Cricetulus griseus: one gene and its partners. The protein of the gene in region 2 purifies or fractionates together with the protein of the main gene of each other region. This does not show direct contact. Links are inferred from orthologs where the notes say so. Each region holds a gene or a part of one and is shown on either strand. Other genes may lie near its edges. The genes, in order: Hnrnpa2b1, Dhx9, Hnrnpab, Ssrp1, Ago2, Hnrnpa1 and Nop56.

What was found.
Region 1: the proteins of Dhx9 (region 2) and Hnrnpa2b1 purify together in Homo sapiens (affinity purification with mass spectrometry; 4 studies listed by BioGRID and IntAct, with this or other methods). This does not show direct contact. The link is inferred for Cricetulus griseus from reciprocal best matches to the Homo sapiens genes DHX9 and HNRNPA2B1.
Region 3: the proteins of Dhx9 (region 2) and Hnrnpab purify together in Homo sapiens (affinity purification with mass spectrometry; 3 studies listed by BioGRID and IntAct, with this or other methods). This does not show direct contact. The link is inferred for Cricetulus griseus from reciprocal best matches to the Homo sapiens genes DHX9 and HNRNPAB.
Region 4: the proteins of Dhx9 (region 2) and Ssrp1 fractionate together in Homo sapiens (co-fractionation; 3 studies listed by BioGRID and IntAct, with this or other methods). This does not show direct contact. The link is inferred for Cricetulus griseus from reciprocal best matches to the Homo sapiens genes DHX9 and SSRP1.
Region 5: the proteins of Dhx9 (region 2) and Ago2 purify together in Homo sapiens (affinity purification with western blotting; 5 studies listed by BioGRID and IntAct, with this or other methods). This does not show direct contact. The link is inferred for Cricetulus griseus from reciprocal best matches to the Homo sapiens genes DHX9 and AGO2.
Region 6: the proteins of Dhx9 (region 2) and Hnrnpa1 purify together in Homo sapiens (affinity purification with mass spectrometry; 7 studies listed by BioGRID and IntAct, with this or other methods). This does not show direct contact. The link is inferred for Cricetulus griseus from reciprocal best matches to the Homo sapiens genes DHX9 and HNRNPA1.
Region 7: the proteins of Dhx9 (region 2) and Nop56 purify together in Homo sapiens (affinity purification with mass spectrometry; 3 studies listed by BioGRID and IntAct, with this or other methods). This does not show direct contact. The link is inferred for Cricetulus griseus from reciprocal best matches to the Homo sapiens genes DHX9 and NOP56.

Annotation. Positions count from the first base shown.
Region 1 is NC_048601.1:89,870,355-89,873,779, forward strand, and holds part of Hnrnpa2b1 (heterogeneous nuclear ribonucleoproteins A2/B1), read left to right. Parts: coding exon 1-47; intron 48-505; coding exon 506-652; intron 653-848; coding exon 849-1,059; intron 1,060-1,343; coding exon 1,344-1,445; intron 1,446-1,546; coding exon 1,547-1,627; intron 1,628-2,165; coding exon 2,166-2,228; intron 2,229-2,923; coding exon 2,924-3,043; intron 3,044-3,262; coding exon 3,263-3,385; intron 3,386-3,425. UniProt on the Homo sapiens protein: Heterogeneous nuclear ribonucleoprotein (hnRNP) that associates with nascent pre-mRNAs, packaging them into hnRNP particles.
Region 2 is NC_048598.1:38,201,283-38,204,782, forward strand, and holds part of Dhx9 (ATP-dependent RNA helicase A), read left to right. Parts: intron 1-1,599; coding exon 1,600-1,756; intron 1,757-3,347; coding exon 3,348-3,448; intron 3,449-3,500. UniProt on the Homo sapiens protein: Multifunctional ATP-dependent nucleic acid helicase that unwinds DNA and RNA in a 3' to 5' direction and that plays important roles in many processes, such as DNA replication, transcriptional activation, post-transcriptional RNA regulation, mRNA translation and RNA-mediated gene silencing.
Region 3 is NC_048600.1:65,881,110-65,885,343, forward strand, and holds the start of Hnrnpab (heterogeneous nuclear ribonucleoprotein A/B), read right to left. Parts: upstream 2,801-4,234; 5' UTR 2,606-2,800; intron 2,525-2,605; 5' UTR 2,502-2,524; coding exon 2,278-2,501; intron 1,538-2,277; coding exon 1,369-1,537; intron 580-1,368; coding exon 421-579; intron 258-420; coding exon 126-257; intron 1-125. UniProt on the Homo sapiens protein: Binds single-stranded RNA. Has a high affinity for G-rich and U-rich regions of hnRNA. Also binds to APOB mRNA transcripts around the RNA editing site.
Region 4 is NC_048599.1:90,490,868-90,494,367, forward strand, and holds part of Ssrp1 (FACT complex subunit SSRP1), read right to left. Parts: intron 2,244-3,500; coding exon 2,114-2,243; intron 1,161-2,113; coding exon 990-1,160; intron 871-989; coding exon 782-870; intron 275-781; coding exon 88-274; intron 1-87. UniProt on the Homo sapiens protein: Component of the FACT complex, a general chromatin factor that acts to reorganize nucleosomes. The FACT complex is involved in multiple processes that require DNA as a template such as mRNA elongation, DNA replication and DNA repair.
Region 5 is NC_048595.1:370,847,700-370,851,639, forward strand, and holds the start of Ago2 (protein argonaute-2), read right to left. Parts: upstream 2,801-3,940; 5' UTR 2,786-2,800; coding exon 2,761-2,785; intron 1-2,760.
Region 6 is NC_048595.1:399,611,948-399,615,920, forward strand, and holds the start of Hnrnpa1 (heterogeneous nuclear ribonucleoprotein A1), read left to right. Parts: upstream 1-1,173; 5' UTR 1,174-1,316; coding exon 1,317-1,331; intron 1,332-1,884; coding exon 1,885-2,001; intron 2,002-2,236; coding exon 2,237-2,383; intron 2,384-2,527; coding exon 2,528-2,738; intron 2,739-3,137; coding exon 3,138-3,230; intron 3,231-3,317; coding exon 3,318-3,410; intron 3,411-3,565; coding exon 3,566-3,640; intron 3,641-3,842; coding exon 3,843-3,973. UniProt on the Homo sapiens protein: Involved in the packaging of pre-mRNA into hnRNP particles, transport of poly(A) mRNA from the nucleus to the cytoplasm and modulation of splice site selection.
Region 7 is NC_048599.1:48,334,196-48,338,481, forward strand, and holds the start of Nop56 (nucleolar protein 56), read right to left. Parts: upstream 2,801-4,286; 5' UTR 2,678-2,800; coding exon 2,675-2,677; intron 2,516-2,674; coding exon 2,426-2,515; intron 2,105-2,425; coding exon 1,990-2,104; intron 1,839-1,989; exon of another isoform or gene 1,768-1,838; intron 1,691-1,767; coding exon 1,529-1,690; intron 1,355-1,528; coding exon 1,156-1,354; intron 1,033-1,155; exon of another isoform or gene 899-1,032; intron 825-898; coding exon 637-824; intron 554-636; coding exon 402-553; intron 230-401; coding exon 129-229; intron 67-128; exon of another isoform or gene 1-66. UniProt on the Homo sapiens protein: Involved in the early to middle stages of 60S ribosomal subunit biogenesis. Required for the biogenesis of box C/D snoRNAs such U3, U8 and U14 snoRNAs. Part of the small subunit (SSU) processome, first precursor of the small eukaryotic ribosomal subunit.

The DNA of each region.
Region 1 (3,425 bases), on a different chromosome or scaffold from region 2:
GTTTGAGAAACTACTATGAGCAATGGGGAAAGCTCACAGACTGTGTGGTACGTTAAATGTGAAAGTCTGACTGTGGGTTTTAGTATGGTTGAGTTTAAGCATAAATTTTGGGCTGAGCCAGCCTGCAGTGCCACATGCCTTTAGTCCCAGCCCTTAGAGTCTGGCGGATCTCTGAGTTTGAGACCAGACTGGTCTATAAGAGCTAGTTCCAGGACAGCCTCCAAAGACACAGAGAAGCCCCTGTCTCCCAAAAATCCAAAAAGGATAATTTTCTTGTTGGGATGAATCATACAGGAAATTAGTATATAAAAAAGGACATTGGGGCGGGCTCTCAAACAGGGTGTCTCTGTAACCAACCACATTAGCCTCGAACTCTTCTCTCCAAATTCTGAGATTAAAGGCGTGTGCTACCACACCTGGCCAAAAAAAAAAAAAAAATAAAAAAGACCAATTGGTTTGTTCATAACTACCTTGAAATTAATGCTGACATCTTTTGGTTTTAAAGGTTATGAGAGATCCTGCAAGCAAAAGATCAAGGGGATTTGGATTTGTAACATTCTCATCCATGGCTGAGGTAGATGCTGCCATGGCTGCAAGGCCTCATTCCATTGATGGCAGAGTAGTTGAGCCAAAACGTGCTGTAGCAAGAGAGGTGAGCAAAATATGTTCAGTGGTTTTCTTGGGTTGTACTAGCTTTTTGTACATGACTTTCTAGGACTTAACTTCAAATCTATTGCTATATCTGAAGGAATTTGTCCTAAGACTGAAGTATAAGTTTGTGCTTTCAAGGTGGTTTAATTTGTGTATTTGTTTTTTCTGTCAGATAACTTTGTCACTATCTGTTGTAGGAGTCTGGAAAACCAGGAGCCCATGTGACTGTGAAGAAACTGTTTGTCGGTGGAATTAAAGAGGATACTGAGGAACACCACCTTAGAGATTACTTTGAAGAATATGGGAAAATTGATACTATTGAAATAATTACTGATAGGCAGTCTGGGAAGAAAAGAGGCTTTGGCTTTGTTACTTTTGATGACCATGATCCTGTGGATAAAATTGTATGTAAGTGTCTAGGCATAAGAGTGGTTGTATATAAAATGTTGGGTGTATTAACAGCCTGTTAAAACATTCAGGATTGCACTGGGTGTTGGTGGCACACACCTTTAATCCCAGCACTCAGGAGGCAGAGGCAGGCGGATATGTGTGAGTTCCAGGCCAACCTGGTCTCTAGAGCCAGTGCCAGGATAGGCTCCAAAGCTACACAGAGAAACCCTGTCTGGAAAAACCAAAAGAAAAATTGCTTATTAGAATGTATTTATGATTCAGTTTTTTTGTTTTTGTTTCAGTGCAAAAATATCACACCATCAATGGTCACAATGCAGAAGTTAGAAAGGCATTGTCTAGACAAGAAATGCAAGAAGTCCAAAGTTCTAGGAGTGGACGAGGAGGTAAGAAATCATACATTTTTAGATTTGTGTATTTTATATGTATATATACATTTGATGGGTTTTGTCTGAATGCTTGCTACTAATCAAAACATATATCCTAGGAAACTTTGGTTTTGGTGATTCTCGTGGTGGCGGCGGCAATTTTGGACCAGGACCAGGAAGCAACTTCAGGGGGGGTTCTGGTGAGTGTTTTTAAAGGGCATGATTTTTGAATGGAATGGTTTTATTCGGATTTAGGATGTCCTGTGTTGTGTGTTGGTAAAACATGCTGAGCATGTATGGTGCTATTAGCCTAATGTTGAATCCCTAACACCTTAATTTCAGTATGTGGGAACAAGAGGCAGGAGGATTAGAAGTTAAGTGTCTTCCTCAGCCATGCACACACGTTGAATTCAATATAAACACTAGACTGTTCATAAGTCTTTGTTTCTCCCCAAAAAACTGTCAAAACTGGTAGATAATTTATTTCTTCTTAGGTTATAGTTTGTGTGAATGTTGTGACTTAGAAGTTTTGATGCACTTTAGACCTTTATATTAAGAAAATAATTTTTCTTATTAACAATTGGGGTTTTTAAAAAATGAGTTGCTTTGGTAGTAAGATGCAGTTAACATACCCCCCCCCCCATGAATAAACTGGTTAAGATTTTCAGCCACCCTCATTCTGAGATACTAATAGAAAATATTGAGAAAAATAAGTGTAACTTTACTTTTTCTAAACAGATGGATATGGAAGTGGACGTGGATTTGGGGATGGCTATAATGGGTATGGAGGAGGACCTGGAGGTTAGTTTCATTGAGAGTTTAATATTTATTTAATATATTTACTAGTATACTTTGTGCTTTATTAAATATGTGTATCACTTATTTTGCCTGTCCGTACTTGGGTGTAATTGTTATTTGGCTTTTAAAAATGCACTCTTGAGTTTTGTAGCTAAGCAAAGCATGCCTGTAGCTAGGTGGGGATTGCACTTTGTAGAAAAGCTAAAATGTTGGGATTTTGAGGTCTGTGTGTTATGGGGGAATATCAAGAGTACAGGTGGATCCCCTTAGGATAACATTTTACCTAAGGGACTTATCCATAGCCTATAAATTTTGTTTTTTTAGATGATCTCTATGTAGACCAAGTTGATATCAAACTTAAGAGATCAGCTTGCCAGAGTTTAAATCTTGCCTGAATGCTGTCCCCATATTTCTTCCTCAAACTGCAGAGCATAAGAATTTCAAATATTTTCTGGTTCAAAGTATATAGTAATGGTATTACAGGTTACCTTACGTTGTTTTAAATGGTGGTTTGTGACCCTGAAACATTTGCTCAAGAATAGTTATTTTACCTTTGAGTAAATAGACTAGAATAGACTAAAATAATTAACCTTATAAAAAAAGTTGTATTTTGAAAAACCAGAAATGAGTGTAATAAAGACAATTCAAATGGAATTGTAAAAATTTAAGCAATTACTTAAAGGCTTATTTTATAATAGGTGGCAATTTTGGAGGTAGCCCTGGTTATGGAGGAGGAAGAGGAGGATATGGTGGTGGAGGACCTGGATATGGCAACCAGGGTGGGGGCTACGGAGGTGGTTATGACAACTATGGAGGAGGTAATAAATTCATCTACAACCTTTATGTTGGAATTTGGATTAGAATTAATGACACTTATTTTTATTGTCACCTAGATGCTTTAAATTGTAGGATTATAGATAGGTACCATATACTTTGATTTTTGTAGAAAATTTATCCTAAAAATTAAACCTCAGTTATGGTTTAGTTCTTATAATAGTTCAGAGGTCTATTAGCTGATACTCTTAATTCTTTCATAGGAAATTATGGAAGTGGAAATTACAATGATTTTGGAAATTATAACCAGCAACCTTCTAACTATGGCCCAATGAAGAGTGGAAACTTTGGTGGTAGCAGGAACATGGGAGGACCATATGGTGGAGGTAATAAGACTTGAAATACATCTAGGCAATTGAGGTATAG
Region 2 (3,500 bases):
TGTATGTGATACTGTGCTTTTGGCAAAATGTTGGTGGGTATTGGTAGGTTATTTCAGATGCTAAAAATCATCATGGGAAACAGGAAAATGAAAATTTTATTTCTCACCTTTGCCTTGGGTGCTTGGCAAGTCAGTATAGTTTTATTATACAATTGTAGGAATTGAAGTTTGATATTGAAATACACAATTTTTAAAGATCCTATTGATACAAGAAAAAGTGTGTCCACATAGTTTGGTCATTCAAACTATCCCAAGTTGCTATTGGAATCTAGGAGTTACTCTTGGTTTTCTTTTTAAAACAGGGTCCTCAACATAGATTGGCCTCTGATTTTGAACAGTCCTGTTGCCTTAGCTTCCCTAGTCATTTATTAAAAGTATGAACAAGTACACCCAGATGTTTTAGTAGAGACTTAACTATAGTGTTGACATACTAGTGTTAAAGAGTTAAAATTAATGTCTGGAATAATACCATGGATAGTTATTCTACTTTAAAGGTGTTAAACCTCATCAGATAGGCAGTATATCATACAATAAGAAATATAGGATGAATACTTTGAAGGAGAATCCTGTATCTTTTACATGGAAAACTATACCCAGATTAGAATAAACATTGTTCTAGATGAAAACCTAAACGAGTTTAATGTCTAATAAAAAGACATGCAAGGCGTGAACATAGCATCAAAAAAGAAGTAGATAATTTTCATAAAGAAAAGACTAAATGTCATAGATACCAAATCTCTAAAGGGATTGGTCTTTTAAGTTCTGACAAATTGGTGGGAGTGTTTTTGCCTTAACATAACTTGTTTTGTTGGTTTTTCAAGACAGAATTTGTATGGCCTTGGCTATCTTTGAACTCTCTCTGTAGACCAGGATATGCATACCTATATAGCACTGTTAGAAGTATATGTGTCTTAATGTTGCTGGATATCAGCATTTAGCTAAATAGCCATTCCTAGCATTTCAGTTACTGACTTGGTTGTTTGTGGGAGCTATTTCATTCACTGACTCCATACCCACCCCTAGGATACCTCTGTTCAAATTCCTTTCCTCTAGAGTCTTTTGAGATAGGCATGACATAAAAAGTATGGTATATATACAAAGCCTACATAGGGAGGACCCATAAATATAATGGTGGGTGATATGGCAGGCAATTTAAACATTATAAAACTAAGTTGTGGCTGTTACTTTATTTGAACTGATTTTTACCATGTTTCTAGTGAAAGTTGTGCATTTTAAACTTTACCTAAAGGTTTTTTTTTCCCCTCTTAAGCATGCAAGTACACATACAGAAACAGGAAAAAGCTGGTCAGTTGCTGGAAGCCCTAAGTTTGGTTTCCCAGCAGTATATAACACTAGGGATGGTAGTACATGCTTATAATCCTAGGCTTTGGAATTGGGAGAAAGAGGAATCAAGTCTAAGGTCTATAAGGTATAGTGAAGTCAATGCTATACTAAGATCCTTAACCACCCTATCTCATTAAAAATTCACTGTAATCTTAAACTGGTGTGTGAAACAATTTTCACTAATGTCTTATGACTATTAGAAATCTTAAAGGTGTATTTTGCTACCCCTTACAATTATTGTTCTTATTTCAATAGACTGACTTCCTTCTGGTAGTACTTCGTGATGTGGTTCTGGCTTATCCTGAAGTCCGAATTGTTCTTATGTCTGCAACTATTGATACCACCATGTTCTGTGAATATTTCTTTAATTGCCCCATCATTGAAGTTTATGGAAGGACTTTCCCAGTTCAAGGTAAATTATGTGGATATGATGGGAAGGAAGCTATGCATTTTCTTAATTTTGGCGATCACAGTGATAGTTTAAAAGACTGAAAACATGCCAGTATTGCCTCACAACCATCTGCAACCCCAGGGGATCCTCTGTGGATTTCCTAGGATACCATATGAATACAGGCTTAAAAAACAGGCCATTGATTTCTATGCTTTTGATAAAACTTTGACTATTATAAGAACATCTTGATTTTATTGAAGTAGCATTGCACAGCCCAATTGAGGAAATTAAATTTGCTAAGAGAGTCGACAATATTGTGAAATGTATTTGTGTGAGATGAATAGCCATGCTATGCTACATTGTTTTAATTAAAAAATAAATGGTGGGCCCAGCACCCATCTAAGCCAAATACTGTGACATAATCTTATTGTTTCTCAGGCTATGGGTTTCAAAGTTCTAATAATTGATGTACTTCAATACTGAAGAACTTTATAAAGAGATTAGTAGATAGTAGAGGGTAGGAATTAAGTTTCTTACAGATTATACTGTTGTTTTGGGTTAGTCTATGATCAACATGGTAAGCATGGAAGCAGGCATGGCATTGGGACAGCAGCTGAGTTGATGATTTAAAATTTTGATTAATCGGCCAAGGGTGGTGCCTCACGCCTTTAATCCCAGCACTCGGGAGGCAGAGGCAGGTGGATCTCTGAGTTCAAGGACAGCCTCCAAAGCTACAGAGAAACTTGATCAAAAATTTTGATCAACCTAGAATATATGAATTTTATTGAAATAACTTATTGCACAGTCCAGGTAAGGAAACGCAACTAACCCTAAGAGACTTAACAGTGTGATGAAATCAATAGCTGCCATGCCACTAAATTTTTTTTAATCTCTCCTAATCTGGGCAAAAGGCAGAGATGGGCACAGTTTGAGCAGAAAGCTAATGATGGTACTAGATTAAGTTTAATGTTTAAATTACAAATATACACTGAATAGAAAAGTGGCAATTACAGATTTCATGCAGAAACCTTATAAATAGTATGTGTACGTGGATTTCCTTGCCAATAAAATTTGACTACTACTCAGAGTGGACTTGATAGTAATATTTGTTCCTAAAGAGTGGACTTCTAAGTGGCAGGGGAGTACAACTTAATAGTGAATAAAATTGGTGGACATTAATTTATGTACCTTTGGTTTGCAGTCTTGGGTGGTGGCTTTATGGTTGAAGATACAGAATAGAGATTATAGAGTCACTTCTTGGTGTTTTAGAATATTAGGCACAGCATTGATTAGTGATCTTCAGTCTTTGCATTAACATCCTCCTGGGAGAGGATGATGGTATACACAGATTCCATGAAAGTTTGGTTTTAAAAAGTTGTATAAAGGGGAAACCCCAGCTGTCTTTGTAAGAATTATCTCAAATCTTGCAGAGTTTGATGGAATCATAATGTACTTTCTGTTGTTGAAATTTAACTGTAGGAATTTCTTATACTTGTGAAGCCTCAAGTTGATGAGGATGAAAGTAGTTTCAACTGTGGATTAGCAAATGAATTTGCAGTTGTGACATTTTATAAATTATCACGTACTTAACTAATGTGACTGTCCCTGACAGAATATTTTCTGGAGGACTGCATTCAGATGACCCAATTCATTCCTCCTCCAAAGGACAAGAAGAAGAAAGATAAAGAAGAGGATGGTGGTGAAGATGATGATGTAAGTCGATTCCTCAGCACATCTACAGGAATGAGGAATGTTCATTGTGAGA
Region 3 (4,234 bases), on a different chromosome or scaffold from region 2:
AACTGTTTTAATGTCATTGTGTACTACTATAGAGAAACAGTAAGGTTTTACTAACAAAGGGTCTATAGGTAGCTAATCTACACCTCCAAGAACCAAAAACCAGTAAAACAGTTCTGACACCTTACCTTGCTTCCGCTGACAGTATGGAACTTTTTCTCCAGAACTTTCTTCACAGGGTCTTCCTCTTTATATGTAATAAAAACAAAACCCCGTCTTTTGTTCAACTTGGGATCTATTGGAAGCTCAATGGCTTCAATCTGTAAAAACAAACAAAGCTTAGGTGTAAACCTCTTAGGTGTACCCAAGAACATAGAAACCTGCCAAGAAAAGACCACTGAAAAGATGAGAAAACTCTACTAATATAATAATCTGGCCAGGCAAAGTCAAAGAAGAGCAGAAAGAAACAGAAGCCATATTCACCTCCCCAAACTGGCCGAAGTATTCTCTGATCTTTTCCTCTGTGGCTTCAGGGTTCAGACCTCCCACAAAGATTTTCTTCACAGGATCCTTCTTCATAGCCATCGCCTTTTTAGGGTCAATAACACGACCGTCCAGCCTGTGTTCCTTCTGGTCTAAGACCTGTGTAAAACAGAAACATGTTAGGTTCAATCCAACACAAATACAAAGAGGGCTTAATTCTCTCTGGGGCTAAACCAAATTGACTTCCTAACCTCCCATACAGAGGACCACCTGAATACCTATAAGCCACCCCCACTAGCCTCTACCCAGGCTCTACACTCCTCCTAACCAGTAGTTCCCTACTTAAGACCTTTCATTAAAGCAGTGACAAAGAACACTAGATAATCTAGTGCTGAAATCCTCTCCACCCTGTATAAATGCATGCATTTTCACCATTTCTGAGATTTAGGAATTGGGGTCCCATCTCCATTAAAATTGTATTAAGAAAAAAAACTATCCTCACAGCAATCACAGTAAAATATTTAACACCAAGCCCATAAATAAGCATATAAAAAAGGTAATAAGCAGCCGGGTGGTGATGGCACACACCCTTAATCCCAGCACTTGGGAGGCTGAGGCAGAGGAATCTCTCAGTGAGTTCCAGGACAGTCAAGGCTGTTACACAGAAATCCTGTCTCGAGAAACCAAAAACAAAAAAGTATTAAGGGAGGGCTGAAGGCAGGACTCTAGTTACTGCCCAGCTCACTGCCCTCCTACAGGATATGCAGTAAGCTTTTAAAACAGTACGAACAGTAATCCCCCAGAATCATTCCCTCACATATAACCCATTTAATCTGTACTACCCCTCAAAACAGGAATTTAAGCTCTTTGTCCCTATCAAATACTGCAGTGCCCGAGTTCCTTAGGACTTAGAATCCTAATAGAGACTGCTGCTAACACCCAGCTTACCTTCTCTACACTGGAAGAATCTTTGAATAGGATAAACCCAAACCCTCTTGATCGTCCAGTGTTGGGATCCATTTTAATTGTACAGTCCACGACCTCTCCAAACTTAGTAAAATAATCCTTTAAGTCTTTTTTGCTGGTATCCCAACTCAGACCACCAACGAACATTTTTCTGAAAGGAAAACAACGACCACAAATCTTAGAAGCAGGATGTGATTTTTACAAAAGTCTGACCCGGATACACTTTCCTAGCAAGCACTTGTGAAGCCACGGTGCCACAGGCCAGCCCGAGATGACCCTTTTCAAGTTGATCCCTCCTGTGTTACTCTGGCATCTCGACTCAAATGGAACTGTATGGAGATCGTATAGCCACACGGTGTGGAAAAAGGACAACCTGGTCACAAACGTGAACCATAAGCCGTCACAAGTTTAAATTAGCGTGTTTGTACTCCAGAATGGAAACGAGCTCCCGTTCCGTTCTTCCCCGCCTCCCAAGAACTGATCCCGAGGAACTCTGGGTTTCCTGGGGCCGAAACCGCCCCAGGGTTCAGGCCGTGACTCCGCCCCTCGACCCGAGGCAGGCTAGGCCGGGCCCGCCGCGCGCCAACTCCGCCCACGCAGCCCAGACGCAGCGCTCGCGGCCCGATTCGAGGTCGGCCGCTTTTCCTCTTCCGGGGCCTCCCGCCTCGAGGCCCGCTACAGTCTAAGCACCCCGCGAGCAGCCCAGGGCGACCGCAAAGTCGACCCCGCAAACTCCTGCAAACTCCAATGCGCCTAACCGCGCCTGGGCCCGCCGGCGAGCGCGCCAGGCACCGCTCGGCGGGCCGCCCGCCCCTCCCCCCGCCGCGTGGCGCCAACAAAAGGCTGCCCCGGAACAAAGGCACCGGCCCAGCGGCCCGCGGCCGCACCTACCCCGCGTCCTCCTCGTTCTTGCTGGCGTTGATCTGATCGCCCTCGGCGCCGTTCTGGTTCCCGCTCGGGGTCGCCGTGGTCCCGCCCCCAGACGCGGCCGGGGCTGCGGGGGCCGGTGCCCCGGCGCCGGGCTCGACCGGGGCCTCGCCTTCGGGGGCGGCCTCGTGTCCGTTCTCAGTGGCGCCCGTCGTCTCCATGGGCTGCTCCTCAGCCGCGTCCGACATGGTCGGCCAGGCCGCAGCGGCTCCTGCAACGAGCGGCGACGGCACGTCAGGCCCCGCGGCACTCCCCGAGCTCCCGCCCACCGCCCGCGGCCCGGCCGGCTCACCTCGCCGCCGATGACGCCGCGAGGCCCTACTCGCCGCGGAAGGCGCCGCGGGCTTGGCCGCGCTGACACCCGCACCCCCGGGAGCTCGTCCGCGTCCACCGACGGTGTCGCTCGGCTCGACTGCCGGCGTACACAGGCCAAAGATGAGACCTCAGCTCCGTCCCGCGCGGTGCCACCGCCTGACAATGCCAACTCGTGGAGCTCTTTATAATGCCGGAGCCGGGGAGCACCTCGTAACAAAACATATTCTGATTGGCTGAAGCCAACCGCCACTCACCACTGTCGTGGCATTTTATTGGCTGATGCGGCGCGCGCGCTCTAGATCCGGGCGGGCTTTGTCCTCATTTTAGAACGCGCGCGAGTCAGAACTGCGTACGGTTCCGGTTATCGAGCGGGCGCCTCAAGTGTCCCTTTTTGTCTGGGGGGCGCACACGACAGTCTGTCGTCCCCTCCGCTTACCCCATCCCACACTAACAATCCCGGCCTCCCAAAAGGGGATAAATGCCCCGGAGGAAGCCCTAAACCCAAGGTCGCCTGGAGGAAGTAGCCGAATCTTGGTTTCCAAGATAATGGGGTGCTAGGGTCATCTGAGGCCCTCAAAGCGGCCTTCTCCTAAGCCGCGGTGTGCCGAGATGCCGGTGCTCTTGCCCTCTCTTCCAGCGATGCTGGCTGGGGCGGTCCGTGGAGGTCTGACGCCGTGACCGTTGGAGTGTGGTGTTTCCAGTTTCAGCTTAATACCGATAGATACTTAACATCGCATTCATGTTTAGTTTTGCTTTTAATTTATTTCTTTTTAACGTTGATTGGGTTTTGTTTTGTTTTTTGAGACAGGATCTCGAAGCCCAGACTGGCCTTAACTCCAGACAAACACTCCTTTTTCACCCGCTCAGTGCTAGGATTGTGCAGCATCACCACCATGCCTGGCTTAATTTCATTTATTCTACATGACTTTTTAAGAAAGAAAGAAAGAAAGAAAGAAAGAAAGAAAGAAAGAAAGAAAGAAAGAAAGAAAGAAAGAAAGTCTTTTTCTGTACCCAGGGCATGATTACAGACATGTTCCACCCTGCCTAGTCTAACAACTTGTTTTCAGGAAAAATTTCCTGTTAAATCACATATGAGGTGATGTTAAAGAGGACTACTTCTCTTTTACGATTTAACCACAAGGCTTTAAAGGCCTGAGTTATCCCATGATTTCTGTGTATATGTACATAACACAGAAATGTTTGAGTGTAAGCACACACGTGCTAGGGCCTGCATGTAGACATCAATTAAAAGTGTCAATCTTAAACAGGCTGTGACGGCGCATGCTTTTAATCCCAGAACTTGGAAGGCAGAGACAAATGGATTTCTGTGAGTTTGAAGCCAGCCTGGTCTACGGAGTAAATTCCAGGACAGCGAAGACTACAAGAGAAATCCTATCTCAAAAAAAAATAAATAAATAAATAAAAAATGAAAATAAAAAAGTAATAGTCAAAAAACTTCCTGGTTCTCTCCTTTCATTTTTCTTTTTTTTTTTTTTTTTGGAGTGGGGGTAGAGTGGGGCAGTCGAGGCAGGGTTTCTCTGTGGCTTTGGAGGCTGTCCTGGAACTAGCTCTTGTTTTGTTTTGTTTTTCGAGACAGGGTTTCTCT
Region 4 (3,500 bases), on a different chromosome or scaffold from region 2:
ACTCATTACTCTTACAGACAAACCACAACCCTGTCTTACCCACCCCAGACTCAAATGCCCCTCAACCGCCCAGACTTCCTGCCCCACCTCGCTCCGCCTCCTCTTCTTTTTGCTCTTGTTCTCTCCTGAAGAGCTCTCATCACTGGACACAAATTCTTTGCTCTTGAAGCTCTCACTTAGCTGCCTTGATGAAGACTTGGATGATGAACTCCTAGAGGGAGTGGATTTTTTTTCCATCTTTGCTTTTACTTTCTTTTTCTTCTTAGACTTGTCCCTATATTAAGAAAATGGAAAAGACGCCAGGCCATTAGTCTTCCCATATTATCAGATAGGCCACATTTCTCCTGGCTTTAATGAGGACGTCTCCAGTAATGGCCATATTATTCTCACCCTGGCAAATATAATGTCAGCTCTGTAGCCCAAAGTACACCAAAGGAGAGGATCATACGTGAGTACCTGAAGAGCCAGGGTCACGGCCTGAAGCAACTTATGCAAAACTTACCTGGCACTTTTGTTTTGTTTAAAAGTTCATATGGATTTTGAATTAAGCTTCACAAAATACTTTTTTCTAAACCCTCCCATTATTTATTTGAATATAAAACTGATCGAGGAAAATGGGCCATATTTATCTCCTAACTCCATACAACACCTATACTCGGCAATGGCATAAGCACTATTTTACTGCTGTCAAAAATATGTACCACAATTCTCAATTCTAACCTGGAAAAAAAAATCTGCTAAAAAGAGCAGTTATTGGGACCATTTTGTTCCTAACACTCACCTTTTAGAAGATTCACCTCTTCCTCCTTCATATTCTTTCATGGCTTTTTCATATTCCCTCCTGGCATCCTCAGCCTTTCGGTCCCACTCCTGTCACAAACAGTCCTTTAGACTGATGCAAGCAAATCTGTATCTACAGATGGATGAGTGACACACCCTGCACCCCCACAAAGCCCTTCTCACCACCACTCCTTTCCACTGTTACTCACCTCTTTCTTCTCTTTGGACATTCCCTTCCAGATCTCGCCTGCCTTCTTAGAAAGATCTGTGATGCTGATGCCAGGATGGTCTGACTTGATCTTCTCTCGGCTGGCATTAAGCCACAACATGTATGCAGACATAGGCCTCTTAGGGGCATTTGGATCTTTACCCTTCTTCGCCTACATGAGAAAGAAACCAAATGCCATCAGCCATCCATATTTCTCAACTATCCTAAGTTTCCCCAAGGAAACCATCTGGGGAGGGGGAAAATGCAGGGAGAACTAGATGGAACTGGGTACCCAGGAACAGCTCTAAGGGCAGGACTAGCCGCTTTTTCCTTCTCCAAGAGATGCCCTGGGCAGAGGCAGGATGTCTCCTAATTCAGATGCAGAGACTCACATCTGTCATGGTACTAAGAACAAGTTACAAATGAGTGCTCAGTCCTAAATGGAATATCTCTATCACCAAGGCCCAGGGAATACAGCTAAAGAGGTGGGCAGGAAGAATGCAAGAGCCAGAGAAAAGGGAGGAGTACTATGAAACACTGCCATCCAGATACAGCATGGCTGCTGTGACTGTCAACAGCTATGGATACTTGCCCAAGGCCAATACAAGATTGGGTCCTGATATTCTATCATAGATAGGAGAGGCAACCACGAGGGCTCACCCTTCCTAAGGTGCTACATGCAGTTAACATGCAGTTGCTAGGAGAAGATGAGTCATTTTCTTCAGCGGGGCAGCCACTGGTAAGGTCTTACACATGCTATACAAGCAATCCTAATTAAACTCATCAGATACAAACCAAAAAGACAAGACATGAAAGCAAAAGATGGACTAGTTCAGGAGTTGAAGGAGGGGAACAGAGGGAAAGGGGGTATGAATAAAATCATAGTACATTGAATGTATGTTAAAATTGTCAAAAAATATTAAAATTGGACAAACAAACAAAAAACCCAGATCTTCTAGAAACAGTATCTCAGGGCCAAAAAGAAAACCTAGACGGTATCTACCAAAGCCACACTCACCCAAAAGGCAGCACAACCAACAGGACCTGCTGCGAGTGGAGAGGAGAAAGAAAACAGAAAATGGAGACGCACACACTCACTCTCCCAATCTAGAGGTGAGTCTGTACCTCTGAAGACTTCTTGCGGCTCTTGCGATCCTTGGCCATCTTGGCCCTTTTGAGCTGTTTCCGCTTCTTCTCTTCTCGGTCACTGTCCCCCTCATTACTGGAGGAGCTGGCAGAGGCATTGCTGTCAAACCTGCCAGAGTAAGGCTTAGACTCAGGAAAGGAAGGCAGGATACAGATCTTTTCTTTCATTTTGAGATAGGTTTTCTCTGTGTAGCTCTGGCTACACAGAATTGGAACTCGCCCTGTAGACCAGCCTGGCCTCGAACTCACAAAGATCTGCCTGCCTCTGCCTCCAAGTGCTGGGATTAAATGCTTGTGCTACCACTGCCCAGCCAGATGTCTTGAGAAAGTAGTAAAAGGAATCTAGACATCTGCCCAGAAAGGGCCAAGGGAGTAAGTCCCAAGGACAGGCTCCACCACTAATTGCCACCCCAGCTTCCTGCCTTTCACTAAAATGATTTCATATCCCTTCTCCAGACCCAGCCACCACAAAGGCTTATTTGTTTATTCAATCAATAAAAAACCAATGTTTCAGTGGGCTCTTCTGCTCTAAGCCAGGTAGGTTCTATTCCACTCCTGCCCTTCAATACTGTCTCCTGCTAGCCTGCAGCATACCAAGTCTACTTCATCACTCCCTTTGGTTAAATCACCTTAGTTTATACTACAATCTTCTGCTAAAGAAAGACTGAAAGGGAGGAAACCAAGTTTCAACTGAAGCCAGTCCCTGTGTCTGACTCTCCCGTCCAATAAAGCGCATCTCCTCTGGACACACAGCTGCTGGTACTTGCCTACTACTGAAAGGCTCCCGAGGCAAGTAATAAGCATCTGTGCCTTATTAACCCTTGCCAGCACAACTAGTGAACTTCTGAAAGACGGTCAGTTTGGTTTTGATTTTGCTGCCCCACCTTTCTACATCAACAATCCCAGTTTTCTGTAGGAAAGGAGCTCATTCTAACTGCAGAGTCTAAGGTGGTTCTGCTCCATTAGAGCCACAAATATATTATCTCAAGGTCAGGAAGGCAGTTGACCAGAGACAACACTATCCACTGTGCTGTTCACCAAGAGGTGCTTCTGGGTGTTAAGCTATCCACATTAAACCTTCCTAGACCTGAGGGACATAGAGCAAGCTTTCTAAGAATAGTAAAATCAGAAGCAGATTCCTCACAACTTCTGAGCACTGAGATCCAGTAGTACCCATGGTCAACTACATTCCTGAACTCTCCAGTTACATAAACTAAAACAAACAAAAAAAAAAAACACACACTTAACCCTGTGGAGCCAGTGTGAGCCTTCTTACTTTCTGAAAAGGACAATCAGAAGTCTTGACTGATATAGCACAGGGGTACTACTGTTATACTGTCACTGGCAAGTGAGGACTCCCAGCATG
Region 5 (3,940 bases), on a different chromosome or scaffold from region 2:
GAGGGCTGACTGAGCGCCAGCTATGGAATCCCAGATTGTCCGGGGCCAGAGCCTTATCCACTTCTCCTGGCTTTCTCACACCTACCTCCAGCACTCACCCCCAGCTTCAAATTGTTCCCTTCAGCACCCCAAACCTAATAGCCCTAAAACTCAGTGACATCTGGCCTCTCTTCATGCCATGGCCATGAAATAATTTACTCAATGTTTCATAACAGTGGTTGTCAGGATGAAGGTACAGACAAACCCAATGCCTGTCTAGCTGGACCATTCACACAGATGAGTCTCCCCTAGAGACAATGAGGCACTGGCTCAACTCCGTTCACCCTTGTGGTGGTTTGAATGAAAAATGTCCCTAGTTTTGGGCATTTGAACAGTTGATCCCTAGTTAGCTCAGGAGGCATGGCCTTGGAGGAAGTACATCACAAGAGGCAGACTTCGAAGGCTTGAAGACTCTGCCATTTCCATTTTGCTGTGCTTCATGCTTGTAAATGTCTGAAAAGATGTGAGCTCTCAGTTTCCTGCTTCTGCTGCCAAGCCTCCTTGCCATGATGGACTCTGACCCCCTGGAATGATCAGTGCCAAATAAACTTCCTTCTATAAGTTGCCTTGATCATAGTGTTTTATCACAACAAAAGAAAAATATCTAATACAACCCACAATCCATCACCACCCTCTCCTAGGTAAAGGAAGCTAAGAGAGCTGACAGGGTGGTCCCCATGGCTAGCCCTGGAGCCAGTTCCTGCCCAAACACACACATGAAGAACTATCTGGTGTTTTTCCAGAATGAGCTTGCCCACCTGGCACCACAAAGATTTGGAAGCAGTTCCTGCCCGGGGTCTCTTCCTCCTCTCTGACTCCTACAGTGTTGGCCTGGTCAATATCTCCAAGGCCCCAAATCCTCTCTTTAAACCACTGGCACCATCCAGCTACCTAATCCCTAAGTCAACTCCTCACTCCCTTGCTGCCCTCCTCAGCATCCCTCCCGAGCTCCCCTGGCCTTGTGCTCTCCAGTGAGCTATTCAAGATGCTTCCAAGGACTCTAAGCTTCAAGTGAGCTCCCTGGAAGTCAGGAGGAGTAGGGACAAGGAACCAATAGCACCTGTACAGACACACTGTAAACATGGGAGGTGGATGCTTTTAATGCTCTTTGCATCTCCATAAGATTCCATTCAGTCTTAACCATGTCTAAGTACCTGACTGGAACTCATATCTGTGTTGGCATATGGAACAGAGCCCACCACTTGTAATGTATATAGGCAGCAATGGAAGCCTACCTCTGCAGGCTCATCTTGAACCTGGTTCTAATGGGCCCTGTCTGGCTACTCTGGGTAACCAATCATCCTACCAGCAAGTTCTCAAGATGACTGGGGACACATACACATGGCTCCCCTTCAACCTGTGCCACACCAGAAAGAAAAAGAATCCAGGTCACAATGTCCAGAGGGTGTGAGCAACCTGGGAAATATCTCACATGCTCCAGACAGGGAAACTGAGACCCATACAGATGCCAAACTCCCCACACATGCCTAGGAGGACAGGACTGAAGTGGATGACTATGTTCATCTATCCAATGCCCCTGCTGACACTAGGGAAGACCAAGAATAGAGTTCCCGGATGCTGGTCCAGTGTCCAAGAGCCAGAGGCACTGTGTTCTTGGCAGACAGCAGAGGGTCTGGCTGCTTCACACACCCGGTGGGCCCCCTGCTTGGGGCTGCAGCAACACATTTTGGTATACCATCTCAGGGACACCACATGTGTACCTTCAGGCATCAGGAGGACTCCAGATGCACTGGGTGTGAAGCAAGTGGACACACTCAGCCCTGGTGCTGCTCCTGAGCCTCAGGCCTGACTTAGGTATGGCCCACCAGGTCTGCCGGCTGTCCAAATACCACACTTGACTGGAGGAAGCTCCCAGGTTAGATGATGAACCCTGCACAGCTCTACTGAAAAACTGATGGAAAGGCACAGTTGTTTGGTCTCAAAGAGGAAAAAAAAAAAAAAAAAAGGTATAAATAGGGATTTCAGGTTCTTCAGCTCTAGAGGTGAAAGTGGGAAATTAAGTTGTAGCTTGACGCCATTTCACCACAAGAGCTTCACTTTATTTAACCTGCCAGGGTGAAAAGGATGGTGCAGGCTGGAGCTGGGCCAGCGTAGCCTCACTGCCCGTGAGATAGTGATGCTGGTAGAGTGAAGCTGCAGGGTGCTGGGTCAGGAGCAGATAAAGGAAGAGGATGTAGGCATCTGGAGTTGGAAATGCAGACAAAGGTGGAAGAGGCCTACTTTTCAAGGCTTTGGCAAAACACTGCTGATGTAATGGCACACATCTGGGGATGTCCCACAAGGGAAAATGAGTTCAAAGCCAGCCTGGGTACCATGTTTCAAAAACCAAAATACAACCAAGAAAGATTTAGATGACAGAAACCCAAATTTACACATTCTTTCATAACTCCATATTCTAATATCAGTTGTAGGGTCTGGAGAGATGGCTCAGCAGTTCAGAGCACTTGTTGCTCTTGCAGGACCCAGGTTCAGTTCCCAGGATCCACATTCACAAATGTTTGTGACTCGTTTCCTGATGCCCCTTCTGGTCTCTGGGGCCACCAGGCATGTATGTGGTACATATCCATGCATGTAGGTAAACACTAATCATACAAATAAAAACAAAATTTAAAAAATAATCCAAGTGTAATCATGTTTCTGAAGCCAAGAGAAGTGATAGCACCTGGTATAACGATGGCAATGGGCTGTGTTCATACATACCTGCACCAGCTCTTTGTGGTGACATAAGCCTGTAATCCCATGTCTCCAGGAGTAGAGGCAGGAGAATGAGCTTGAGACCAGCTCGGGCTATACAGCCCACCCTGTCTCTGAAAGAGAAGGGGCAAAACAAACAAACAAACAAACAAACAAAAATTCCCTGTATTCTGTACACACAAGCATGTCAGGGTGAACTGGCTGATCTGGAGCATGCTTGAGGATGTCAGTGGGGAAGAGGCAGCTGGAAAGCCACCGCCCAAACACCTATAACTGCAGGAGGAGGAGGAATGGACAGGCACAAACCAAATCTGCTTTCACCCTGCTTTCATGTAAAATTACTTCAAGGTAGAAACTTTTTAAAAATCCTGTTACATTTTCTACAATAACAATTCATATAGCTTAAAAAAAAAGAAACATTTTTGTCATCCTGGCAGCCCAGTCTCTTGAACGGCAAAGAATAAACCCAATGGTGTTGACAAAGAAACTCAGTTACAAAATGTTGCTTCTTAAGAATGTGTAAATCAAAGCTTTTACAAGCAACACCTTATTTAAATAACTACACAGGCTGGGGGGGGGGGAGATATTTCCCACAAATGCTCATCAGCCACCATGCTGTATGCATTCCAGCCGCTGGCAGCAGAGCCCGCCAAGCTGCAGTGGTACCCTCCCACACAACTGGGAGTTGGGGGAGAATCCAGGGAGCAGGGCCACAGTATATGCTCAAAAATCCCAATCCTGATTGGCAACTCTACACTCATTTTTCACTGTCATAGAGGTTATTTTGTAGCAAATCCTCCTGGGCAATAAAAGCCGGAGTACAGCCAGACAGCTTAAAAACCTTGGGTGGGGGACCCCACCTATAACCCACTTTAATAGGAAGTTTCCGGTTGGGTAGAGAATTTACATATGCTAAACCATTAACCCTTTTGGAAGGGAGTGGGGGAACAACCCAAACCTGTCAAGTTCTGAACCTTGCCCCCCCACCTCCAGCTATCAGCTTCACACGTGTAAAAGGGGGATAATAACCCACTGTGAATTCTATTTTTAATGTTAATTTACTAAGTATTTACTTCCCTTCAAGCTGGGGAGCCGCAAAACTCTTTGTAACGTTTCTAGAATTCAGATACAATGGCCTTCCATCCTCCTACATTTGGAAATATGGTTGCGTCTCATTGAAGAAATT
Region 6 (3,973 bases), on a different chromosome or scaffold from region 2:
ATTGCCTCCACTATAGGAGTCATTGTAGATAAAATATGCACCCCTACAATTCCCTCTGAAGGCAAGATGCCTCTCTTTCAAGGAATCTCTCCATTTACTTGATCCAGGTTTGGTCCATGGATTTAACCTCCCGACTCCCGCGCTCCCCACTGGAGTCCAGCCTCTGCCGCTTGGAGAAGGCCGGCCTATCGCGCGCTTGGAGCTCATTGGCTCTGAGAGACGCCACTCGGGCGGGAAAAGCCCGCCTCCCGCATTCGGATGGCCCAAGGGCCGATCCGTAGGCAGCTATAGGAAGACCCAATTGGCCTATACACTCGTCAGTCAAACGCTCTGGTAGCGCAGCCCAAAAGGACCTGGCAGAATTAAAACATCCCGCCCCCGTTCTCCCATTGGCTGGCCCGACCCATCGCGGCCCCTTCACTGTCGCTCCCCCAAGTCCAGCGGGGCCCATTCATTTCGTACAATAACGAGTCCAATTGGAGCGGGTCCAGGAACTCCCACGGTTAGTCAAGACTCTGCCACTTACCCGGGATCTACAGTGACCACTCACACTAAGGCCTGCGCGGTTCCTCTGTGGTAAAGCTGCACCACAAGCCACCCGCTACCGCCGCCTTCTGCGCAACGCCAGCCGCCCGCCAAAACGGATCCTTTCCCTGCGCCTGCGCAACCAATCCTGGGCCCAGACCTTTTCTCCGCCCAAAACGCCTGCGCAAAGCAGGACGCAGCTCCCGCCAGTACGCAGGCGCCTTAGGTTCACCGCCCTCTCCCGCCCGCCGCCCGCCATTTCACGTGTTCAGTAGGCGAGCGGAACTCCTTAGTGCGCCGGCGTAAACTCGCCATTTTTATTACACATGCGCTCTCCGGGCAGTGGCTGCAAAAGTGGTAGCGAACTACTTTTCCTAACGTGTCGTGTTTTGCCAAGTGAGGTTATAATGTTCGGACGCTGGGAAGTTATGCAAGGCGTTTAAAGACATGGGTACATTCAAATATAAACCACTGGTTAGCTAGTCAATCAACCTGGTTAAAAAAAAAATCCCCCAGAGCGTCGATGACTCCGAAGGGCGGAGACTGCGTAGAACGCCCCAGCAGATGCCATCTCTTAGCAGGGCGGATCCACAGACCTAGAGTGGGCGGGAACAATTCCAGATCTCCAATCAGAGTAAGGCCAGGGCGGAGTCTACCAATGCCGAAAGCGAGGAGGCGGGATAAAAAGGCGAGCCGAAGGTAGGCTGGCGGATACGTTCGTTGACTTACTCCTTTCTGCCTGTTGACGCGGCGGAGGAAGCATCGCTGAAGGCTCTCGTTTCCCTGCCGTCATGTCTAAGTCGGAGGTGAGTTGTGCGCGCTCTGCGGCTTCGTTTCCTTCCATACGCAATGAACAGGACGGGATGCGACCTATTTTTCTGGCTGGCACCCATGCTTTCGGTGTTTGATCGGTCGTTGCCGAGGCCTGCTCACAAAGTGCAGGTCGCCATTTTGTCCTCGTAGTCGCCATGAGGCTGCCGTCCGCTAACCGCTAGTTTCCACACTCGGCTCCTAGTGGCAGAATTCACAGATATGCGACCTTGGGGGTTGTGGCTCTTTTTATTTTCTTTCTTGGCTTTGCCTAACTAACGTCTGCTAAGGCTTCAGTAAGTTTTAATGGCGATTGACCAGTCCAGCCCGTGTCTTTTGTTGCGCGTGCGTATAGAGTAGGGACGCATGCGCTGCATGCTAGTCCTCCCCCCCACGCCCCAACAGCACCTCCTGGCCCAGAGAGGAGCACGTGGTCTTGTGCTGTAATAAAGAACAATAAAAAAGTGCGGCCTATGTTGATGCGTGGAGTTGATCCATTCGCTCAAGTTCCAGCCCCTTAGCTAACGGCTCTCCTTTGATCCGATTCAGTCACCCAAGGAGCCGGAACAGCTGCGGAAGCTCTTCATTGGAGGGCTGAGCTTCGAAACAACCGACGAGAGTCTGAGAAGCCATTTTGAGCAATGGGGAACACTCACCGACTGTGTGGTAAGATTAGAAGGAACAAAAGGCGGGGCTGGTTTAATTTTATTGCTTTAATCATGCCGCACTTCTTACCCAGATGCTTTGTGAAGGTAATTAATGGTATAATTTTAAAAGGATCTTTGTTTGGGGGCCTTATGCTTGAGTCTAAATGGAGTTTTATGCTGGACATGTTCAGAGTTGGAATGGCCTCAGGTCCTGATATCAGGCAATATGTTGATTGAATTAACTCTATAAACAGGTAATGAGAGATCCAAATACGAAGCGATCCAGGGGCTTTGGTTTTGTCACGTACGCTACTGTGGAAGAAGTAGATGCCGCTATGAATGCAAGGCCACACAAGGTGGATGGCAGAGTTGTGGAACCTAAGAGAGCTGTTTCAAGAGAAGTGAGTGTTATTATGCTAATAGTTGGGTTCTCTTTTATCTAGACGCCAGATAGACCCCTAGAGTGCTGGGATTAAAGGCGTGGGCCACCACAGCTGCCAATCATTTGAAATGTACTAATAATGACTGCATCATTTTCCTTTTAGGATTCTCAAAGACCAGGGGCCCACTTAACTGTGAAAAAGATCTTTGTTGGTGGTATTAAAGAGGACACTGAAGAACATCACCTTCGTGATTATTTTGAGCAGTATGGGAAGATTGAAGTGATTGAAATCATGACGGACAGAGGCAGTGGGAAAAAAAGAGGGTTTGCTTTTGTCACCTTTGATGACCATGACTCTGTGGACAAGATTGTTAGTAAGTGTCAGATAATTAGATTTCTCTCCTCCTCCTCCCTCCCCCACAAACTGGGAATATTCTGTAGCTTTGGGTCCTTTCCTGGAAATGAGACCCGCCCTCAAACTCAGATGGCCTGTCTCTGCCTCCTGAATGCTGGGATTTATGGGGTGTTCCACCCCCCAGCCAGATTACATTTTTCTTTTGGGTGGATTCGAGACAGGGTTTCTCTGGCTTTAAAGGCTGTCCTGGAACTAGCTCATGTAGACCAGGCTGGTCTGAAGCTCAGAGATCTGCCTGCCTCTGCCTCCTGAGTGCTGGGATTAAAGGCGTGGGCCACCAACACCCATCGTGCTCAGATTTCTTAATGACTGGGACTCAGTGTGTTTAAAGCCCTAAAGTTAACTTTTTTTTTTTAAGTTCAGAAATACCATACTGTGAATGGCCACAACTGTGAAGTGAGAAAAGCCCTGTCAAAGCAAGAGATGGCCAGTGCTTCATCCAGCCAAAGAGGTATCTCTTGCTTAGTTAGAACTTGCAGAGGGTAGTTGGGTTGTTGCTGCAAGTTGGTCTAATGTAATGATCCAAACATCTCTTAAGGTCGAAGTGGTTCCGGAAACTTTGGTGGTGGTCGTGGAGGTGGTTTTGGCGGCAATGACAACTTTGGTCGAGGGGGAAACTTCAGTGGTCGAGGTGTGTACCTTTTGGATTTCTTAATTGCTTTTGGAACGATGGATAACTGCTAGTCTTTGTTTATAGCATTTAGATTTTACCCAAAACATAAGTTTTCGTTACACAGAGATTAGCATTTGCTTCATTCATATACCTAAAGCTCTGGTTTCTTACAGGTGGCTTCGGTGGTAGCCGTGGTGGTGGTGGATATGGTGGCAGTGGGGATGGCTATAATGGATTTGGTAATGACGGTAAGTTTCTTAAGGAATCCGTAAGTAAAATTTCTAGCAACCTATACCTTTAGACTAGGCTAGTAGACACTAAACCTAGTGCATGACAAAATCAACCAGCCCCGTAATACGCATGCTGTGAGCAGGCCATTAGTCATTACACTTGCATAGATTTTTATTGTTAAATACTTTTGTCTTATTGAGAAGGCTTGTATTCTTGTAGGTGGTTATGGAGGAGGCGGCCCTGGTTACTCTGGAGGAAGCAGAGGCTATGGAAGTGGTGGACAGGGTTATGGAAACCAGGGCAGTGGCTATGGCGGGAGTGGCAGCTATGACAGCTATAACAACGGAGGA
Region 7 (4,286 bases), on a different chromosome or scaffold from region 2:
TGGCCATCACCCCCATAGCAGAGGCCTGTATAGGTCAGGGAGTCCTGGTCAGCCATCACTGTAATCCCCAAACAAAGCAGCGGGCACCAGAAGTAGCACCTGACATGGGCAGGCACCCTCACTGGTACCTGAACAGGGCCTTTTCAGCCCCAAGGATCTGTACTGTGGATGCTGGGTACTTGGCCAGGTTGGTGAGGCTGCCAGCATGAGCAATGAGACGTGCACCTACCTGGAGAAAGATCCAAGGAAGAAGCCAGGTGAGTAGGGGGGAACTTGACTTATCAGTTTCACCCCTATTTTCCTCCCCACCATGCAACAACTAGGGACAACATGGTAGCCAGAAGTATAGCGGTACAGTATGCTAACATTTTTACTCCCCCATTTGTAGTCCCATAACGCACCGCTTCCCCAATTAAGGCTGACAGGCTGGGGGCTACTTGGCTCATCTTGGAGCGAAGGTAAGTGTGTAGGCTCTGGCGATACTCTGACAAAGACACCACACGACTGGAGAAGCTCTCGATGTTTATCAAGTCGATAGCAGATATGTCCATGCCTAGGAAACACCTAGTGTGAACAGGGGGACCAAATACTCAAGGAGTCTCGTACCTTATGCAGGTTGCCAGGCTCTGCACTGACCCATGGAGGACCGAGAGGCATCCAAAATGGCCTTAGCCTTGGCCCCATCCATAGTCAACTCTTCCAGCTTCTCCAGCTTTTCCTCATTCAATTCCCTGCGGTTTCCAATGAATTGAGCCAGGCGACAGTAGGTGGCATTGTCATTGATGATCTTCACCAGCTCTGGAAAGTGGTACCCATACCACTCCCTGCAGAGTTACAATCATTCCCTTACCCAGTTTGCCAAACCTCAAATAAACCAGATCCCAAGTCTCCCTCAAATCCATGTCTCCCCATTCACAATTCAGACCAGGCACAATGGCCTAGGCTGAGGTGTACATGGGGTAGGTTTACTCTGCCTCCTCTTTCTATACAGTCAGTGTTAAGAACACAGCCTGTGGTAAGCACAAGGAGGCCTGGCTTTAGCCCATGATTATACCCGCAGGAATTGTCAACCCTGCTTGACCCTTGTTAAGTTTATAATAGCTAAACCACAGGCCAAAGAGCCCAGTGTTTGGTAGCCCATGCACTGCATCTTACCTGACACGCATTGAGAAGGTATTGATATCTTTATCCAGTTGGTCCAGAAGGCTTATGGACTGGATGATCATGTTGTCCACCCGGTTCACATTAAATTTCACTTTGGCCCGAGAATAGCTGTGTCCCAACCCTAGCTGGGCTTTACACGCAGACAGGTCTGTTAGACCCTTCACCAGATTATGGAAGTGCAGACGAACTCCTAAAAGGCGGGACTATGAATAAAACACGTGGCCACGGAATAGCCAAGATAACCATCTACCTCTTGTCTCCCTCTTCTGGCCTCTGTGGGCACTGCACTTACATGGTGCACGCAGTAAGTGCAAGCACTAACACATAAAATCTTAGCAGCTTCGGAACAGGAGGACTATCTTACCTCGAAGGATCTCAGCTATCACACCTCCAGTCTGGCAGTTGTACCCCAACTCCTCTTGTATTGCAGCACCAATCTTGGGGTCTCCAACCCCCAGCAATACTTTCTTTTTTTTAGACGGCAGGTATGTCTCCAGGAGCAGACGGAGGTCCTCATGAACAACACCTTGGGACAAAGAACACTTTACCTGTAAGACTCCACCTCCACATCGGATCACGAAAGAACACCCACCCCTCCAGGCATTGCTCAGAAACATGGAGACATCAGTGATCACACTCAGTGGATTGACAGATTTTTCAAGTCATCAGTGCAAAGCCTGGCTTCACCACGGTGGCACAACTGTGAAGCAGTGAGCTCCTACTGTCATCTTGTAGGTCCCAATACCTAGCATGCATCACGTGCTCAGCAAAATCATCTTAGAACACCGTCGCTTAGAATCACTCGTCGCTGAGCGACTAACTCACCTTCAGACACGGCATTGGCATTTTCCAAGGCAACCTGGGATGAAGAAAACGGACAGAAGGCGACCAGACGAACGACATTGTGGAATTTGCCAAGGTTAAGTACACACTCCTCCACCTGTGGAGAGGAGGAATGAATGGGCTTTCTTTGAATTTGGCCTCCACAGCGCAGTAAACCAGGAACCAGCTGTAATATTCATGGGAACACTGGTGCCTAAGCTCCACATCCCGATTCTACTTTAATTCTCAAGATTTGAGGTGTTTATCTCCACTCTCTAAGGAGATTATACAGATACGCATTAATTAAAAATCTCGTTCCTGAGCTTTCACCCCCCCCTCTGCCGGTGCGGTCGGCCACGTGGGAACACGCGGTGCATGATGGGGTTCGGCGGCCTTAGGGGCTGCATTGCAGCACCCCGAGCCCACCGATCCCACCCACCTGCGGTAGCAGCAGGCTGATTTCCTCCACTTCCTTCAGGGCCAACAGCGCGTAGCCGACCGCATGCTCGAACAGCACGTGCAGCACAACCTGAAACGGGAACCGGCGCGCGGCCATCAGTCAAGCTACCGAGTCCCGCCGGCCGCTCTTAGAGCAGGTCCTGGCCCATACTCCGAACCCGAATCCGAACGCACACCCAGACCCGCACCGAGGCCTTCTCGTCACTAATAACCCACAACCACTCCTCACCATGGCGCCTGCTCCGTGCCCAGCTCGCAATGCGGCTAGCGCGCTCTGGCGCGCGGAACTAGACTGCGGAGACCACGCCCTCCCCTCCTTGGCCAATCAGAGGCTGAGGACGGAACCATTTTCATGTCTTCGGAGGGGTTCGCGGGTGTGGTATCGTCCGCCGGGCGCGCTAGACTGCAGCGGGCGCGAGCGGGCCGGCCCATCCGAGCCTCTGCGGCTGCGCGAGCCGGTGCGGAGACCGGGGCAAATGGCGTCCGTTCTAGCCTGAGGCTGCATAGTGCTCTGGAGACCGCCCTTGTCCGTCTCTCGTGCTTTTGTCACCGTGGGCCGAGCGGCAGAACTCGGTGAGGGGACGAGACACTCCATGACGAGCGTCGCAGGCTTTCCGCTGGCCCGAGGCCTCTGGTGACAGTCCGGGTCCTTGCCTGCCGCCTGCGACTCCGCCTCAGACGCTGCAAAAATGGCGGCTCCTCGCCGCCTGCCTCTTCCTCGTAAATTTTATTGCTCAGAAAGTACTGGTGCGAGCAGTAGCGTGCATAGGAAGGGTGGTTTAGGTCTGTTCCTTGCCCTGTTTCACAGCTCTGCGCCAGCTCTGCGCGGAGCCACGTGTTTGTCATCGCCCGTTAGGCCCTTATCTATCAAGGAGCAGCTTCCTGCTCTCCAGGGCTGCTTTTAGGCACACCGAAGTGGCTAGTTTAAAATTACTTTTTCTTTAAAGAAAGAAAAAACCTTTTTTAAGTAATGTTAGAGTTACAAGTCCCAAACGTAGTTATATTTTAGATACTCCGTGCCTTAATGGGTTAATAACAATGCCAAGATTTCCTCCCTTCCATTCACTCTTTATTTTCTTTCGACCTCGCATTTCCTCACCCTTATCTCCCGTCGCTCTTCCTTTCTCTCTCCCCGCTTCCTTTCTTTTCCCTTCCTCCTTCCCTCTTTATCTCTTTCTTTCCAGGGCTGTCTTTCAATTGGCTCTGTAGCAGAGAATGACCTTTGAACTTCTGATCCTCTTGCCTCCCAGCCCTGTGCCATCTATAGAGAATCCATTGCAGACCCTCTGCTTACTCTTCTACAACGCCTAGGGGGATTTTGGAAATTCTATCAGAAAGCACATTTATAAGTTAGGTCTGTTTTGTTTTCTTAACTCAGTGACTTCACAAAATTCAAGCACAGGGGCTGTAAACATGGCTCTTCCAGTAGGTCCAGTGTCTCCACAGACACAGGAGGATTAGGTCTTGTCATTTCTGGTCCTTAGCCCTTTGCATGCTTGTTGACTTCGTCGAATAAGAAATGGGCTGATGAGTCCCATGGAGAGGTAGAAGCCCTGAAACTATATGGAAATGGACAGAGGCCCAGCCCTCCAACTCTCATTGCCAAAATAGACTTGTGTCCTACCCCTTGCCACTGACTTCAGCTGCATGGAACCCTAGAAGTGACCAGAAGGGCCATGTATGTGTACCCTGCGGGTGAAAGCCCAAGCTTTGTGACTTCCAGTGTGACCTGAAATTAATCACCTAACTTTGAGATTCTGTTTCTTCAGATAAAGACTAGAGATTCATTCATCTCTGTAACAATCTCCTACTGAACATCTGGTAATGGGTATGGTACCTGA